3 linked regions of the Arabidopsis thaliana genome follow. Each later gene encodes a partner of the first gene's protein in a complex. Each region holds a gene or a part of one and is shown in the gene's direction. Other genes may lie near its edges.

Evidence for each region.
Region 2: the proteins of CP12-2 (region 1) and PRK are in contact, whole or in part, in a crystal structure (PDB 6KEZ), measured with the Arabidopsis thaliana proteins. Residues at the interface, in NP_191800.1 of Arabidopsis thaliana: Asp62 (codon at 2,294), Val64 (codon at 2,300), Glu65 (codon at 2,303), Ile68 (codon at 2,312), Gly82 (codon at 2,354), Val85 (codon at 2,363), Ala86 (codon at 2,366), Trp88 (codon at 2,372), Asp89 (codon at 2,375), Glu90 (codon at 2,378), Val91 (codon at 2,381), Glu92 (codon at 2,384), Glu93 (codon at 2,387), Leu94 (codon at 2,390), Ser95 (codon at 2,393), Ala96 (codon at 2,396), Ala97 (codon at 2,399), Ala98 (codon at 2,402), Ser99 (codon at 2,405), His100 (codon at 2,408), Arg102 (codon at 2,414), Asp103 (codon at 2,417); in NP_174486.1 of Arabidopsis thaliana: Ser59 (codon at 3,104), Lys63 (codon at 3,116), Arg109 (codon at 3,254), Arg112 (codon at 3,263), Lys113 (codon at 3,266), Gln115 (codon at 3,272), Lys116 (codon at 3,275), Thr118 (codon at 3,281), Ala119 (codon at 3,284), Tyr148 (codon at 3,371), His150 (codon at 3,377), Val151 (codon at 3,380), Lys201 (codon at 3,798), Arg204 (codon at 3,907), Asp205 (codon at 3,910), Ala207 (codon at 3,916), Glu208 (codon at 3,919), Arg209 (codon at 3,922), Gly210 (codon at 3,925), His211 (codon at 3,928), Ser215 (codon at 3,940), Ala218 (codon at 3,949), Ser219 (codon at 3,952), Ala222 (codon at 3,961), Arg223 (codon at 3,964).
Region 3: the proteins of CP12-2 (region 1) and GAPA are in contact, whole or in part, in a crystal structure (PDB 3QV1), measured with the Arabidopsis thaliana proteins. Residues at the interface, in NP_191800.1 of Arabidopsis thaliana: Leu113 (codon at 2,447), Glu114 (codon at 2,450), Cys117 (codon at 2,459), Pro121 (codon at 2,471), Glu122 (codon at 2,474), Asn124 (codon at 2,480), Glu125 (codon at 2,483), Cys126 (codon at 2,486), Arg127 (codon at 2,489), Thr128 (codon at 2,492), Tyr129 (codon at 2,495), Asp130 (codon at 2,498), Asn131 (codon at 2,501); in NP_566796.2 of Arabidopsis thaliana: Arg140 (codon at 3,841), Val161 (codon at 3,989), Pro184 (codon at 4,058), Ser212 (codon at 4,142), Cys213 (codon at 4,145), Thr214 (codon at 4,148), Thr238 (codon at 4,305), His240 (codon at 4,311), Thr243 (codon at 4,320), Gly244 (codon at 4,323), Asp245 (codon at 4,326), Arg247 (codon at 4,332), Ser252 (codon at 4,347), His253 (codon at 4,350), Arg254 (codon at 4,353), Arg258 (codon at 4,365), Ser270 (codon at 4,401), Thr271 (codon at 4,404), Gly272 (codon at 4,407), Ala273 (codon at 4,410), Ala292 (codon at 4,467), Arg294 (codon at 4,473).

Annotation. Positions count from the first base shown.
Region 1 is NC_003074.8:23,088,896-23,092,916, forward strand, and holds CP12-2 (CP12 domain-containing protein 2), read left to right. Parts: upstream 1-2,048; 5' UTR 2,049-2,110; coding exon 2,111-2,506; 3' UTR 2,507-2,685; downstream 2,686-4,021. Other genes in the region: TBL6 (TRICHOME BIREFRINGENCE-LIKE 6), read right to left, coding at 1-247; AT3G62400 (cytochrome C oxidase subunit), read left to right, coding at 1,518-1,778; BZIP53 (basic region/leucine zipper motif 53), read right to left, coding at 2,949-3,389. UniProt on the Arabidopsis thaliana protein: Acts as a linker essential in the assembly of a core complex of PRK/GAPDH. Coordinates the reversible inactivation of chloroplast enzymes GAPDH and PRK during darkness in photosynthetic tissues.
Region 2 is NC_003070.9:11,529,739-11,535,644, forward strand, and holds PRK (phosphoribulokinase), read left to right. Parts: upstream 1-2,460; 5' UTR 2,461-2,929; coding exon 2,930-3,453; intron 3,454-3,721; coding exon 3,722-3,806; intron 3,807-3,906; coding exon 3,907-3,991; intron 3,992-4,071; coding exon 4,072-4,316; intron 4,317-4,419; coding exon 4,420-4,668; 3' UTR 4,669-4,901; downstream 4,902-5,906. Other genes in the region: SCAMP5 (SCAMP family protein), read left to right, coding at 1-2, 101-163, 273-366, 453-498, 582-649, 906-954, 1,037-1,102, 1,204-1,236; NSI (nuclear shuttle interacting), read right to left, coding at 5,113-5,189, 5,287-5,380, 5,487-5,602, 5,720-5,831.
Region 3 is NC_003074.8:9,792,065-9,797,966, forward strand, and holds GAPA (glyceraldehyde 3-phosphate dehydrogenase A subunit), read left to right. Parts: upstream 1-2,797; 5' UTR 2,798-3,161; coding exon 3,162-3,191; intron 3,192-3,269; coding exon 3,270-3,377; intron 3,378-3,561; coding exon 3,562-3,866; intron 3,867-3,951; coding exon 3,952-4,196; intron 4,197-4,281; coding exon 4,282-4,784; 3' UTR 4,785-4,981; downstream 4,982-5,902. Other genes in the region: AT3G26630 (Tetratricopeptide repeat (TPR)-like superfamily protein), read right to left, coding at 1-875; LWD2 (Transducin/WD40 repeat-like superfamily protein), read left to right, coding at 1,212-2,252; LBD24 (LOB domain-containing protein 24), read right to left, coding at 5,072-5,284, 5,394-5,546. UniProt on the Arabidopsis thaliana protein: Involved in the photosynthetic reductive pentose phosphate pathway (Calvin-Benson cycle). Catalyzes the reduction of 1,3-diphosphoglycerate by NADPH.

The DNA of each region.
Region 1 (4,021 bases):
CGGGTGAATTGAAATGGGTAGAGATCAGAATCGGACTTGCTTGAGGAGAAACTGAAGAATCGGAAATGGCGGCAATAGGGCTTAAATCGATCTGGAAGTTAGCTTCTGGTGTTGGGTAAAGAGAAGAGTTAGATTTGAGTAAGGAAGAGGAGAAGAAAGTGAAGAAAACAATGGCGGAAGAGATTATTGTGATGATGAATGCTAAGACTCTTGTGGACTTCACAGAGAAACTTCTTTGTCTCTCCATCTTCTATCTCTTTATTTATTTTTTCTCTGTAACTGTTATAAGTTAGTTAAGAAAAAACAGTTTCATAATTATCTGTAATCAGAGAAATTTGAAATCGAAAAATGGAACTGTTTGAGAAAAGGATTGAAATTTTGGAGTCGACAAAGGTGGTTGAATTAGTGGGGTATAGAGGAGAGATTCGGTGAAGAAATGATAATGACGTTCTTACAAACTCGTGAGCTCATGAATTTTACAATAATTAACGGAACAGAGGGAAAGATAATGATTATTTAAAAAAGTTCAGGATTAGGAAATTAGTTTAGTGTGTTGACAGATTGGATTTGGCATTATTAACGTGGTGGGACACACTCGGGGAACACGAGCAGCGAATGGTTTACTTTTTTAAAAAGCAAATTCCATAAAATGCCCATTGAAGAAATAAGAGATCAGGCCCATGTTTAAGGCCCAATAAGACACAAATGGAGTAGAGAAGTGATTATCTGCTTACGCAACTTCTTCAATCACCCACCATTTCGTTTTCGTCGTGAGCTTCTGTCTCGTTCATCTACACAATCTGACTCGGTAAAGTCCATATTCTTCCCTTGATGATAATTGTTGTTTCCTTTATGATTTTGTGGTGATTTTCGTTATAGATAGGTGGCGGATTGTGAAGTTACGATTAATTTTTATCAGATTCGAATCCATTTCTCGTTTTTTTTCCCGTGTAGATCGGTGTGCTTAAGATCGGAATTTCTCGTTTAAATCTTCCGTTGATTTAGATTTGATGCTCTTAGTGTTGTGATGCTTTGAAACGTTAATCCTTTTCTTCGGGAGAAATGCCAATTTTATTTTCAGTATCTGGATCCTGTGGATTAGGGTTCTTGTATCATTTTGGGAATAAATTCAAAGCCTTTGATATCTTCCTTTGAATAGAGACGTAGTTAAGAGGTTAGACAGAAAATGGATCGAAATTGTACATGTTTATGTGTATATATAGACTCCAAGTGCAAACCAGTAGAAATTAAGAGATCAGGTAGATTAGTGTGTGTGTGTGTATAGATGTTTTATTGGTTGTCAATAAAGTTTTCAGCTTTAGGAATCGTGAGCATTGTGAAAGTATCAATTATGTTAGTATTGACTCTATGATTAAAATGTGTGCTAGGTTGAGAAGAAATGGCAGGACACAAGGTTGCGCATGCCACATTGAAAGGCCCGAGTGTTGTCAAGGAATTGATTATTGGTTTGACGCTTGGTTTAGCTGCTGGTGGTCTCTGGAAGATGCACCATTGGAATGAGCAGAGGAAAACTAGAACTTTCTATGATTTGCTTGAGAGAGGTGAGATCGGTGTTGTCGCCTCTGAAGAGTGAATGGGAATGCCTCTCTCTCACTCTCAATGTTGTTGGCTCGATTTTTCTGTTTTTATGGTTTCTTGAGATCTCAGATAAGTTACCTAAGAAAGTTGGTTGCTTGAGAAATAAACAACCACTCAGACATCAAAATTGGATATTTGTTAACACATTGTTTTCCGGAGATACAGTGGTTGAAACTTGAGACATCTGTCTTGACTTTTCCTTAAACAGTGTGTGATCATTTTATTATACTTACCAGCTTATTTTTTCTCATCTTTTTTGGATAAAATACGCAACAGGCACTTGTATCTTAGAAAACGGCTTGGATGGCTGCAAATTTTCAACATCGTACTGCTTCATAAACGATATCAAATACGTGGAACTTAATTGTTGGTTAATAGAGGATAAGAAATGGGGTTCACAGAATTAAATTCACGCACACTTCATATATCTTGTTCCCTCCCAATTATCTGAACTATCTTCTTTTATCAAAAACTATATTCACAGGCTGCCGTGTACCTTCTCCATCCAAAGATGGCAACTATAGCTACTGGTCTTAACATTGCAACCCAGCGTGTCTTCGTCACCAGCGAGAATCGGCCAGTTTGTCTCGCCGGTCCGGTCCATTTGAACAATTCGTGGAATCTTGGGTCAAGAACAACTAACCGGATGATGAAACTTCAGCCGATTAAAGCAGCACCGGAAGGAGGGATATCGGACGTAGTGGAGAAAAGCATTAAGGAAGCTCAGGAGACTTGTGCGGGCGATCCTGTGAGTGGAGAGTGTGTAGCTGCGTGGGACGAGGTTGAAGAACTTAGCGCAGCAGCTAGCCATGCTAGAGACAAGAAGAAGGCTGATGGTTCGGACCCTTTGGAGGAATACTGCAAAGACAATCCTGAGACCAACGAGTGCCGTACTTACGACAACTGAAGCGATCAAGATCCTGTTCCGGATTCATACGTATACGACAAATCTTTGTTCCGGTCCATTTGGTAATGTCAGGTTATATAAATCATGTCTTTGAATCTGAATTAGCTCTAAAAACATTTGTAATTTGTAGTTCCATAAACGAATACAAAAGCCAAAATTTCATAACAGGTAATGCGCAGCGAATAATAAGAAAGCTTGAATTCAATAAGAAACACATTAGACACCAATTACATGAGACACAAGACTAGAGGACTGAGGCTACAAAACCATACAAAGACACGAACAAATTGAAATTGCATAAAGATTGCGTTGTCCATTGACAACACAAGACTCAATTCACCAATGACACACTAATTGTTACAACAAGGACAGTAAGTAAAACAGACCAAAGACTCGAACTCAATGCTTCATTTTTGATCCTTCAGATATGAATCATCCATCTTCAGCAATCAAACATATCAGCAGAAGCTCTGATTGGTTGCATTGGACAAGGCATCTGCCAAGGGTTCTGCATAGATTCAGGAATCTCAGGAATATCCAAAGCCTGACCACTAATTTCTTCAACCATCTCAAGCACAGAGTTCAATGATCTCAACCTATCCGTCAACTCCGAAGCCTGTGCCCTCAAGACATTGTTCTTAGACTCCATTTCAATGTATTTCTTTGAAGCTTCATCAACCTGCTCAGTGATTTTAGCGTTATCATTCTTGAGAAGAGTGACTTCGTTGATCAAATCACCAAGTTGCTTCTGTTTCCTCATCCTTGACCTCCGAGCAGATTCTCTGTTAGAGATCATTCTCTTCCTCTTCCTCTCATCCGTCACCGTGGCGTACCTCGGATCATTATCGGATTCAGGACTTGTTTGCATTTGCAACGACCCCATTTCTCGTTGACTTTTTGACTTCTTCTCACCAAAATTAAAATCAATATAATATTATTCTTCTTCTTCTAGAGATATTTTCCTATAAAAACCTCTCAAAAACACAATCTGAAAATCCCCGATTTCTAAATCTATCAAAGAATAAGTTAGATCAAAAACGAAAACTGAGATCGAGAACGATTACTTCATGAGAAAACGTAGGTGTAGTAGAGGTAAACGACGGAGAAAGAGTGTAGAATTCGAATCCGACGAAACAGGATTGAGTAGCTCATAGATTCATTCCTAATTTTGTTTTTTTTTCAAAATTCCCAAAAACCAAACCCTAGATCAAAACAAGCCTCTAAGCCAAATTTCCGATGAGAAAGAAAAAAACCTAGATCTAGATCTAGATCTGAGTGACAGAAGAGAAGGAAACGAATCAAAGAAAGGAGATGAATTATCTGAGAAACAAGAATTGTGGCTGAATCGAGAAGATTGATAAACGAAAAAAAGCTTATGATAGGATCAAAGGCCAAACGAAAGAAGGCGATAAAGTAACACCAAGCTTATCCTTTTAAAGGAGAAGATGGTGATGAGCTGTCCTAAGCCTTTTTCTTTATTTTTACAATATTTTAATAAAGGAAGATAATTAACTT
Region 2 (5,906 bases), on another chromosome or scaffold:
AGGTAAGGCTAATCTTGTTTTTCTGTCTTTTTTTATCACGTGTATCTAATGTGTTGAATTGTTGGGCTTGTATTTGACTGTTCGACTATTAAAATTTCAGGTATCGTTCTGTGTCTGGTATTCAATGTCATTGCAACGATGGTCTGCTGGATTAAAGGCGGAGGTGAGCCTACACTATATTACAATGTTTTATATTATGAAGGTAACTTTTTTTATGAGAATTTTGATTGGATTTGGTTCAACTAATGGTGGTTTTAAAATATCAATGATAGGTGTTAAAATCTTTTTCCTGGCCACAATATATGCATTGATCGGATGTCCACTCTCTTATGTACTATGGTACAGGCCACTCTACCGAGCCATGAGGTAATATTCCTGCTCACTGGTTCTCTTCCATTTGTATAAGTACAATTACAGGCGATATAATTGAAATACATTTTACGGCCTTGCAGGACTGACAGTGCTTTGAAGTTTGGTTGGTTTTTCTTCACCTACTTGGTGAGTTCATAAAACCTATTTATATCTTACCTTTAAGTAGATATACTTCCATTTTCCACATGATTGACCTGAGCTCCTTACAGATTCACATTGGCTTCTGCATCGTTGCTGCCATCGCCCCTCCAATCTTTTTCCATGGAAAATCATTAACGTAAGTCTTCCAATAATAGCCTACGTTTCTACTTGCGTTTGAGTGTACTCTTACTTCATATGTAGTTGGTTAGTCTGGTGAGGGCTTCAATTGGAAAGTTCTAAATTGTTCTGAAAGGTTTATTAATATTCAGTTGTTACAAAATAATGAGGATTATGACTACAAGTAGAAGTGAGAATCTAGCTGTGATTCACCTCTGTATGTTTTGTTGCCTTGAGATTAACTTAAAAACCCTTTCTCTTATTTCGATCAACAGGGGTGTGCTTGCAGCAATTGATGTCATCTCAGACAGTTTATTAGCTGGGGTATGAGCTATACACCTATTTTACATTTCATGACGACGCCTATAATATATTCAATGTGTCTAACCCTAATGAATGATGGCAGATCTTCTACTTTATCGGATTCGGTCTCTTCTGCTTGGAGTCACTGCTGAGTCTATGGGTTCTTCAGGTAAGCCTCTGATCATACTTTTCATGGCTTCTTCAAAACTGTTGACGTTGATGAAACCAGTAAACATTTGATTGATCTGGTTTCCCATTTTGGCTTTGCAGAAAATTTACCTCTACTTTAGGGGAAACAAGTGAAAAGGAGATAAAGAGGAAGATGATGGTAATTTTCCCTTACGATATAAGGTCTGAAATATGTGTATCTCCTATGAATGTAATTACCATTTTACCGTTTGATGCGTTGTGTTGATTGAGGTAAATTCTTTAGTTACTATAGTAGCAAGAGAGAGTGGTTGTTCGGCCATTTCTTTATGTTTTTTACTCTGTTCTTCTCTGGTCTGTAATATACCAATATCGTCTCTTAGCTTTTGGGATTTTTTTTCGGCGAAGTGGATGGACTATTTAGACAAAAAAAAATCATAGCTATGAATTATTAGTAGCGACTCTCTTCGGTCTGAATCTTAGAATCTGGTCCTTCTGATTATCATTGCGTATAACAAAGTATAGATGTTTCGATATGGCCGTGAACTTTATGAATTTTTTTTTTTGCAAACACCATGACTCGAGAGAGATAAAACTTCGTTAAATTCTTCTGTTGAGCAAAATAAGAACTTTTTTTCATTTGCAAACTCCATGAGTCAAAACTCAAAAGAGATTAAAGTAATTTTTTTGGAAAGATTTAATGTGAGTCCATAGTTTTTACTTTTTAACCTAACAAATTCTCTGACCCGTTATAGTTTCATGCTTGACATGGAAGTTGTATGGTGGTTGGTGGAGACTACGTTCAATGTGTCCAAGAATAAGCAACTAGTGCCGACTCTATCGCGGTCGATAAATAAACCATGGTTTTGTTTTTTTAATCCCGATGTAATCTCTTTTACTAATTACCCTACGGTGAAATTCATGAGTAATAAACTTCTGGTATCTGTTCACAAAAAAAAAAAAAAAAAAAAAACTCTTGGTGTCTTTATTAATTGGTAGGCTTGAAGCCCATTGTTAAGGTAACGCAAGAAGGCTTTGATCCCTATAGAAAAAAATAAAAGCATAAAAAGGTAAGTTGTTCAAAGACCATAAAGATTCGAAGCCAAGGGGGGATATACGGTGACGTGTAAATGTGACCCACATAATACTCTCTCCTTCATCTTCAGACCTTAAACACCTAATCCCCATCTGTCCAATTAGAATCTCCCACGTGTCAATTCAAATATCCAAATCCCAAAAAAATAAGCAAATAACCACCAAGCAACGTCTCCCTCCATGCCCTGTTAGTTTTATCACTTCATCGGCAACTCCACTCCTCTCCCAAACTCTATTCTCCAAATTATCTTTTAGCCAAAAAAATCAAACAAAATTACCATAAGTTTATTACTTCATGAAGTAAATAAGATATGATCTTTGGTTTTTTAATGGCTATAAATGTTTTCTTATCCTCTTATCTTATCAACAACATCTTAACATAGAGACTAATCAACATTACAAACAATTTTACTTCAAGAAACCAAAACATGAGCCAATCATCACACAACCACATTAAACCAAAACAAAACAAAATAAAACTCCTTTTCTTCTCTGCAAATTGCCATCTGTTTTTCCTATAGACCCATTGTCCTCCTCTCATTTCTCTCTTTCCCCATTTAATCTTATTTTCAAAAAAAAAAAAAATCACATCTCTATATCACCACACAAAAAACCATAAAATCAAAAATCGTTACCCACATTTCTTTCATTCTATCCTAAATCCTCATCACTCAACCTGAGCTCACAAAGCTAAACAAAAAAAAAAGAGCTTAGGCGGAGAAGAAGAGGAGACCAAAACACCAAACAAACAACAATGGCTGTCTCAACTATCTACTCAACACAAGCTCTCAATTCAACTCATTTCTTAACCTCTTCTTCCTCCTCCAAACAAGTCTTCCTCTACCGTCGTCAACCACAAACCAACCGTAGATTCAACACACTCATCACTTGCGCACAAGAAACCATCGTGATCGGACTAGCTGCTGACTCTGGCTGCGGCAAAAGTACCTTTATGCGGAGGCTCACCAGCGTCTTTGGTGGCGCTGCTAAGCCACCAAAAGGCGGGAACCCTGATTCCAACACACTCATCAGCGACACGACCACTGTGATCTGTCTTGATGATTACCATTCTTTGGATAGGTACGGTAGGAAAGAGCAGAAAGTCACCGCTTTGGACCCACGCGCCAATGACTTTGATCTCATGTATGAGCAAGTCAAAGCTCTTAAGAATGGTATAGCCGTCGAGAAACCGATTTATAACCATGTCACTGGACTTCTTGACCCTCCGGAGCTTATTCAGCCTCCTAAGATTCTTGTCATCGAAGGTCTTCACCCAATGTAAGCTACACATACTCTGTTATGATACTCTGTTTTGTATCTTAGACATACTCAAATTTTAGAGTTTGGAAGTCTCTTATCTTGTCGGAATTTCGATGATTAAGAATCTGGACTTAGATTTATACTAGAATCAGTATCAGAATAATTAAAGATGGATCTTTGAATCTATGCATGTAGTGTGTGACACCGATTAATTTTTATTCGAATAATTAAGTCTATAGTTTTGGTACTTGTAATGTTTTATAATAATATTTATCTACTTGTGAAGGTTTGATGAGCGAGTAAGAGACTTACTAGACTTCAGTATCTACTTGGACATTAGCAACGAAGTCAAATTCGCTTGGAAAATTCAGGTGAATTTCTTTGAATAATTCAACTACATTTACACCATTTTGTGGAACGTTTTCGGTTTATCTTATAAAACTGAATCTGTAACGTTTTTGATGGTCACAGAGGGACATGGCTGAAAGAGGTCACAGTTTGGAGAGCATCAAAGCGAGTATCGAAGCCCGAAAGCCCGACTTCGATGCATTCATCGGTAACACTCCTAATTTCTTGATGTAACCCCGTGTCATATTCGGCTTGATCAGTTTATAATATTTTCAATGGCTTATACAGACCCGCAAAAGCAGTACGCGGATGCGGTCATAGAAGTGCTTCCTACGACTCTGATCCCAGATGACAACGAAGGGAAAGTGTTGAGAGTGAGATTGATAATGAAGGAAGGTGTTAAGTACTTCAGCCCGGTTTACCTGTTCGATGAAGGTTCAACCATCTCGTGGATTCCTTGCGGCCGCAAACTCACTTGCTCGTACCCTGGCATCAAGTTCAACTACGAACCTGACTCCTACTTCGACCATGAGGTACATTCATATTGCATAATGACATATTGTGAGAAATGAATGAAAATGCATGTGTATGAGAATTTAGACTCATTGCATATATCTCCCTTTTTGTTTCTCTCAGGTATCAGTTTTGGAGATGGATGGACAATTTGATAGACTGGACGAGCTGATTTACGTGGAAAGTCACTTGAGCAACCTCTCGACCAAATTCTACGGAGAAGTCACTCAACAAATGCTCAAACATGCTGATTTCCCGGGTAGCAACAACGGTACTGGTCTTTTCCAAACCATTGTTGGATTGAAGATCAGAGATCTCTATGAGCAGCTCATTGCCAACAAAGCCACTGCTCGTGCAGAAGCTAAAGCCTAAAACAAACGAAGCGAAGCCAAATAGAACGCGTCGATAAATACATCCGCAGTTTCTTCTTTTTCTTATTTCTTTCTTTCTTTATGCGTTGTTTACCGCGGATTTTCATGGCGAAAAGGACGGTCTTGCTTGTTTGTAATTTGTGTGGAGATAAAAAGAAAAAGCCTGTAATGTAGAGAAGTGAATAGCAGAGCAATAACAGTTCAGTTTATAGAACGCCTTCAAAATTTGTTCTTTACAGCATCAAAGTAGATTCAAACCACAAATCAACTAAGCAAAAGAAAGAACAGTTTTATCCTATTGATCATACTCATGTTGAATACTTGAATGTCAAATAGCTTTTGGATTACAAATTACACAGTTCAAACTTCCTTATAGATTCCATATAAGAAAGCAAAGAAATTATACATACAAGTAACAATCCCATTTTCTTGCAATCACCAAGTACTACTTTGGGTACCAAAACATGCCTTTGATGCCTTCTGGATCAGCCTCAAACCCCAAGTTCTGATAGAAATCCACAACTACAAAAAAGGAACACAGATTCAACAACTAAGTAAGAACAAATCCAAATATTTTGACCACAAAAATTGCAGATTAAACAGTGATTCGATGTTTTACCTTGACTATCTGCAAACAGAGATATGTTACCAATATCTCTTTGAAGAAGAGCCCTTACAAGTTTTTCAACAAGAGCTTTACCTAGCCCTTGACCCTGAAACGTGAAAACAAACACAAACACCAATTAACATCAAACACAAAGCATTTATATTGGCAAGCAAAAACTAAATGCAAAAACCATATCATTTGTTTTGATTAACCTGATATTCAGGATCAACAAGAACATCCCAAATTGTAGCATTAAAGGCATGATCCGACGTCGCACGTGCCATACCAATAAGCTTCTTCTCCTGCTGCTTCTCCCCATCCCCGCCTTCTGTGTCAAATAACTTCTCCAAAATCCGCTAAGATGTTCATCAAAACATCCTCTTTGTATATATATACACATTGCTTATAGTGAGTCAAGAAAAGTGTTATACTTAGTTATAAGCACCTGATGAATCTGAATCTGATGATGACTTCATTACAGAATGCAAAGTAGCAACCATATAACTATTCTTCAAAGCAGCAGCTAGTTTCACTAACGGTCTCCTTGGCCATCCCACCTATATTTTCCCATAAGATAACCATAAATGAGAGTTTTTGAAGTATCATCAAGCATAAACAGAGCACAGGAGTAG
Region 3 (5,902 bases), about 13 Mb from region 1:
AAAGCGGTTCCAAGGAAACAATCAAGCACAAAACCGTTTTTATGAGCATAGTCATGAACCCATCTTCCCATAGACAAGCTTCCTAACTGAGTAGAAGCTTGCAACAAATTAACAATCGTAAACTCATTAGGCTTGACATCATCAACCTGCATTCTCCTAAAGAGCTGAAACGCCTCGTCGGGTCTACGGTTCTTAACGTAAGCCGTAATCATTGCAGTCCATGAAACAACGTTTCTCATTGGCATTTGATTGAATACAATCTCTGCAGAATCTAACTGAGAATTGGAGACAAGACCATAAAGCATAGTAGTCCATGAAACAATACTTCTCCCAGGCATTTTATCAAACACCTTACGTCCACTATCTGGTTTCCCACACTTAAAGTAAAGATCCATGAGAGTGTTTTGGAAGAAGACATCATTAAAAAACCCAGCTTTAATAGCTAAACCATGAACTTGGGTACCTAAACGAATCGACGAAGAAGCGAGACAAGCTTTGATAACAAAAGGGAAAGTGAATTTATCAAACTGGGATTGATGAGAGATCATCATAAGGATAAAGAGAAGAAGAGCTTCACGAGGTTTGTGATTAACAGAGAGAGATCTTATCATAAGGTTCCAGGTAAAAGTAGAAGGAGATTGAAGTTGATTAAAGACGAGAGAAGCGTATTGGGTTTCTCCGAAGGAAGAAGAAACACTTATGAGCTGACGAACTAGTAACTGATCGTTGGTGAGATTGTGTTTGATGATTTTGGTGTGAATTTGTTTCAATTGAGAGAAATTTGAACAAGTTCGGAGAAAGTAAGAAGCTTCGGGAGATCGGAATGGTGGAGGAGAGAGGAGGTTTGGTGGTGAAGACGGCGACGGAGCCGCCATGGATTAACGATAAATCACCAAATTCTCACATTCACTCTTTCCTCGATTGATCGTGTGTGGATGATGATGAAGCTGCATATAAACCGAACTAAACCGAAGTTTGGCTGATTTGGTTCGGATTCGGTTTATTGTGTAGCAAGAGGAAGCATAACCAGATTGATTCGACTAGGAACCACTAAACCAAACGAAATACAGAAATTTCGAACCAAACCGGATCGATTCTACGTGTATTAAACGTCGTCGTTTTTGTTAGCTAAAAAGAAGAAATAGTAAATATCCATTAGAAGAAGAAGACGAAGCAGAGGAATCTAGGGTTTATGCTACATTGAAGCAAAGATGGTTACGAGCAGCGATCAAATCCAAAATGGTTCTGAAGAGCAATCAAAAAGATCAGAGATTTACACATACGAAGCACCATGGCAGATCTACGCAATGAACTGGAGCATTCGTCGAGACAAGAAGTATCGGCTCGCAATCACAAGCCTCATCGAGCAATATCCGAATCGCGTCGAAATTGTTCAGCTTGATGAATCAAATGGTGAGATTCGTTCAGATCCAAATCTCTGCTTCGAACATCCTTACCCACCAACGAAAACCAGTTTCATACCCGATAAAGAATGTCAAAGACCCGATCTTTTAGCTACTTCTAGTGATTTCCTTCGTTTATGGCGAATCTCTGATGATGAATCTCGTGTTGAGCTTAAGTCTTGTCTTAGTAGTGATAAGAATAGTGAGTTTAGTGGTCCAATCACTTCATTTGATTGGAATGAAGCTGAGCCTAGACGAATTGGTACTTCTAGTATTGATACCACTTGTACTATTTGGGATATAGAGCGTGAAGTTGTTGATACCCAGCTTATTGCTCATGATAAAGAGGTTTATGACATTGCTTGGGGTGGTGTTGGTGTCTTTGCCTCTGTCTCAGAGGATGGTTCCGTTAGAGTGTTTGATCTCCGTGATAAGGAGCATTCGACGATTATCTACGAGAGTGGTGAGCCTAGTACTCCTTTGGTGCGACTTAGTTGGAACAAGCAGGATCCGAGGTATATGGCTACTGTTATCATGGGCAGTGCTAAAATTGTTGTGTTGGATATTCGGTTTCCGGCTCTTCCTGTCGTGGAGCTTCAGCGACATCAGGCTAGTGTCAATGCTATAGCTTGGGCTCCTCATAGCTCTTCCCATATCTGCTCCGCTGGAGATGATTCTCAGGCGTTGATTTGGGATATATCTTCCATGGGACAGCATGTTGAAGGTGGTCTGGATCCGATTCTAGCTTACACAGCCGGCGCTGAGGTTGAGCAGCTTCAGTGGTCATCTTCTCAGCCTGATTGGGTTGCCATTGCCTTCTCTAACAAGCTGCAGATTCTCCGGGTCTGATTATGTTTTACAGATTTCTGTTGGATACTTGGATGTAAAAACTCGTTGCTATTGTTGATTAATGATCTTTTGATCTCTGACTCTAAGCCTCATTGAGTTTCCTTTCATAGTATGGTCTGTGTAGGAACTATGTACCTTCAAAATTGTGAATAACTAGCTTTAGCATTGGATTTGATTAGACGTATGGAAGTTAGTTTTGAACAGAGAGCATGTGACATAACGGGGAACTTGAAGTAGATTATGACTAACACCAGCATTTATGTTTCTCTGCCCTCGAGCTGATGGAGTTGCAGGATTTTGTCTGCCTCACCATCGTATGGAATGTGTAGCTTTCTATGGTAGTTGTTATAAGTTTTGTCTCCATTGTCCATATCACTTTATGGGTATGTAGATTTGTGAAATTAGGCATTTGTAACATCGTACAGATGATGTATTCTTCATTACTTCAATACAGGCATATAGACTCTCTGTCCAACTTAAAAGGCATACAAGGTCTGTGGTTTACCAAAATCAGCTTTACTAAATCCTTTGGCCAATATTCTCTCAGCCAGTCCTAAGAACCTCTGCTCTAAAAAGTCTTAGCTTTGAAAGTCAGACAAATGGAGAGCAGCCTTATCCTCCTTTTATAACCGTGACCACACACACAAATGAAGAAGCCCAAATGAAAGGCCCAAAAATCTAAAAAATAGGTGAAGGAGGGACTTTGTGAATATGTGATCATAGAAACATGAAGAGACAAGAGAGTGGTAAAACCACAACCATAGAAACAAGTAAGAAAGCTATCCAGAATCTAATCTTATTTGCCTCCAAGTCATCAATTCTTTATCCTATATTACTAGTCTCTGCTTCACCAATCCTTTTTGCTCTCCTGTCTGCTACAAACCTTAACTTGGATTCTTTCTGGTCACCATGGCTTCGGTTACTTTCTCTGTCCCCAAGGTACCTTCCTCCTTCTTCTTCTTCTCTTCTTCAGGTCTCTCTTACACAAGTTAACTAAATGTTGTGTTTTGTTTTCAGGGTTTCACTGAATTCTCAGGATTGCGAAGCTCCTCTGCTTCTCTTCCCTTCGGCAAGAAACTTTCTTCCGATGAGTTCGTTTCCATCGTCTCCTTCCAGACTTCTGCAGTGAGTTCTCTGTTCTCCTCCAACATTATTTGTAGCTTACGTGTTCTTCCTTATGATGATCATCAACTATATGAAATGTTTGTACCTATATGCATGTCTATCGATAAATCGGATGAATTATGTTTGCTTCTGTTTCTCGCCGGTTTTGTAAACTATTTGGATGGTTGTTCTGTTTGTGTATCAGATGGGAAGCAGTGGTGGATACAGGAAAGGTGTGACTGAGGCCAAGCTTAAGGTGGCCATTAATGGATTCGGTAGGATCGGGAGGAACTTCCTGAGATGTTGGCATGGTCGCAAGGACTCTCCTCTTGATATCATTGCCATTAATGACACTGGTGGCGTCAAGCAGGCTTCGCATTTACTTAAATACGACTCTACTCTCGGAATCTTTGATGCTGATGTCAAACCTTCTGGAGAGACTGCAATCTCTGTTGATGGAAAGATCATCCAAGTTGTCTCTAACCGAAACCCGTCTCTTCTCCCTTGGAAGTAAGTCGAAAAACCACTTATGTGATCAGTCTTTTTATCTCAAGTCTAGAATAAGCATTTGAATTGGATATGGTTGGTATCTTAGGGAGCTAGGAATTGACATTGTCATCGAAGGAACCGGAGTGTTTGTGGATAGAGAAGGTGCAGGGAAACACATTGAAGCTGGTGCCAAGAAGGTTATCATTACTGCTCCAGGCAAAGGAGATATTCCAACTTATGTCGTTGGTGTCAATGCAGATGCTTACAGTCATGATGAACCTATCATCAGCAATGCATCTTGCACTACCAACTGTCTTGCTCCCTTTGTCAAAGTTCTTGACCAGAAATTCGGTATGCAATCCGTTTTCCGCTTTCGCTTTTCGTGTTCTCTCACGGGATCAATGAAACGGGTTTTAATGTGTTTGTAACATTGCAGGTATCATAAAGGGTACAATGACGACTACTCACTCTTACACCGGTGACCAGAGGTTGCTAGACGCGAGTCACCGTGATCTAAGGAGAGCAAGAGCAGCTGCTTTGAACATTGTTCCTACTTCTACAGGAGCAGCTAAAGCTGTGGCTCTTGTGCTCCCTAACCTCAAAGGAAAACTCAACGGGATCGCTCTCCGTGTACCAACACCAAACGTATCAGTGGTTGATCTCGTTGTGCAGGTCTCAAAGAAGACATTTGCTGAGGAAGTCAACGCTGCTTTCAGAGATTCTGCAGAGAAAGAGCTTAAAGGTATACTCGATGTCTGCGATGAGCCACTAGTGTCCGTTGATTTCAGATGCTCAGATTTTTCAACGACCATTGATTCATCACTCACTATGGTTATGGGAGATGATATGGTTAAGGTGATTGCTTGGTATGATAATGAATGGGGTTACTCACAGAGAGTTGTTGACTTGGCTGACATTGTTGCCAACAACTGGAAGTGATTTCATCAAACTTTGTTTCATGTTTTTCCATTTTTTTCTCTTTCTCTTTTTTACATTATGGTTCTCAAAATATCGGTGAAGACTGTATAATTGTAGTATGGATTTGTAATAAATAATCATAAACTATTCAAACTTGTTTACATTTTGTGTTTTGTGATACACTTTTCAGTATAGCTAATGGCCTCTTGATTATGATTATGAGTTTGATATATCAAAGTTAGTTGAATCTTATAAGTTACAGGGAAACAAAAATGCAGAGGAGATTTTATTGATGAAACTGAGAGATATTACATAAAATCAGAATTTTGGGTTTGGCTAAGTTTGGTTTGAGCAACAGCAATCTCAGCTTGAGTTTTGGCTAATTCATTCTGAGTTTTCTGAATCTGAGTTTTAAGTAAATGAATAATGCCAACACAACCATAAACAGGGTCATCTACTCTGCATTTTGCTTCAAAGCACAAAGATTCCACTGCTTCAGCTCTTGTCTGATCAGGAAGTTGCTGTCAAAAAGATCACCAAAATCCAACCATGAATACACTTACTTATATATATGCATAAAGTGTGATCTTAAATAGGATATTAGAAGAAGATACACAAAGATGTGTATACCTGAAGCATTTTGGAAACGTTTCCAGCACCATAGATTCTGTGGACACATGCAAATTTTTGAGGATCGTTTGGAGGGAAATATGGTGAGAATACGCAATCTTTTGGACATCTTCTTCTCAGATACTTGCAAGCTGCACATCTTTTTGGATTCATCTTAGATTTTCTCAGAAACAAATATAAACAAACAACACAAAAGAAGAGATTGTGAAATCTTACACAAAGATTTAGCTATTTGTATTCCTTTTCGTTTCCTTTCTTTTCCAATAATCAAACGGCTAGTTTCCAGTTTCTGAAATTTGACAACATTTACTTAAGGTAAGACTATTTATGTTGATTCTCACTTAGACTAATTAGACTTTATATTACCGTTAACATTACTGTTAAGGCAACAACATTCATGTTCTCTTTAGAGAAAATAAATTGCACTACTAGTTATTAGACGCTAGTTATAGTGATCTAAGGAGAGCAAGAGTAGCAGCTGTTTGCATATGATTCTCCAAATACTGTAT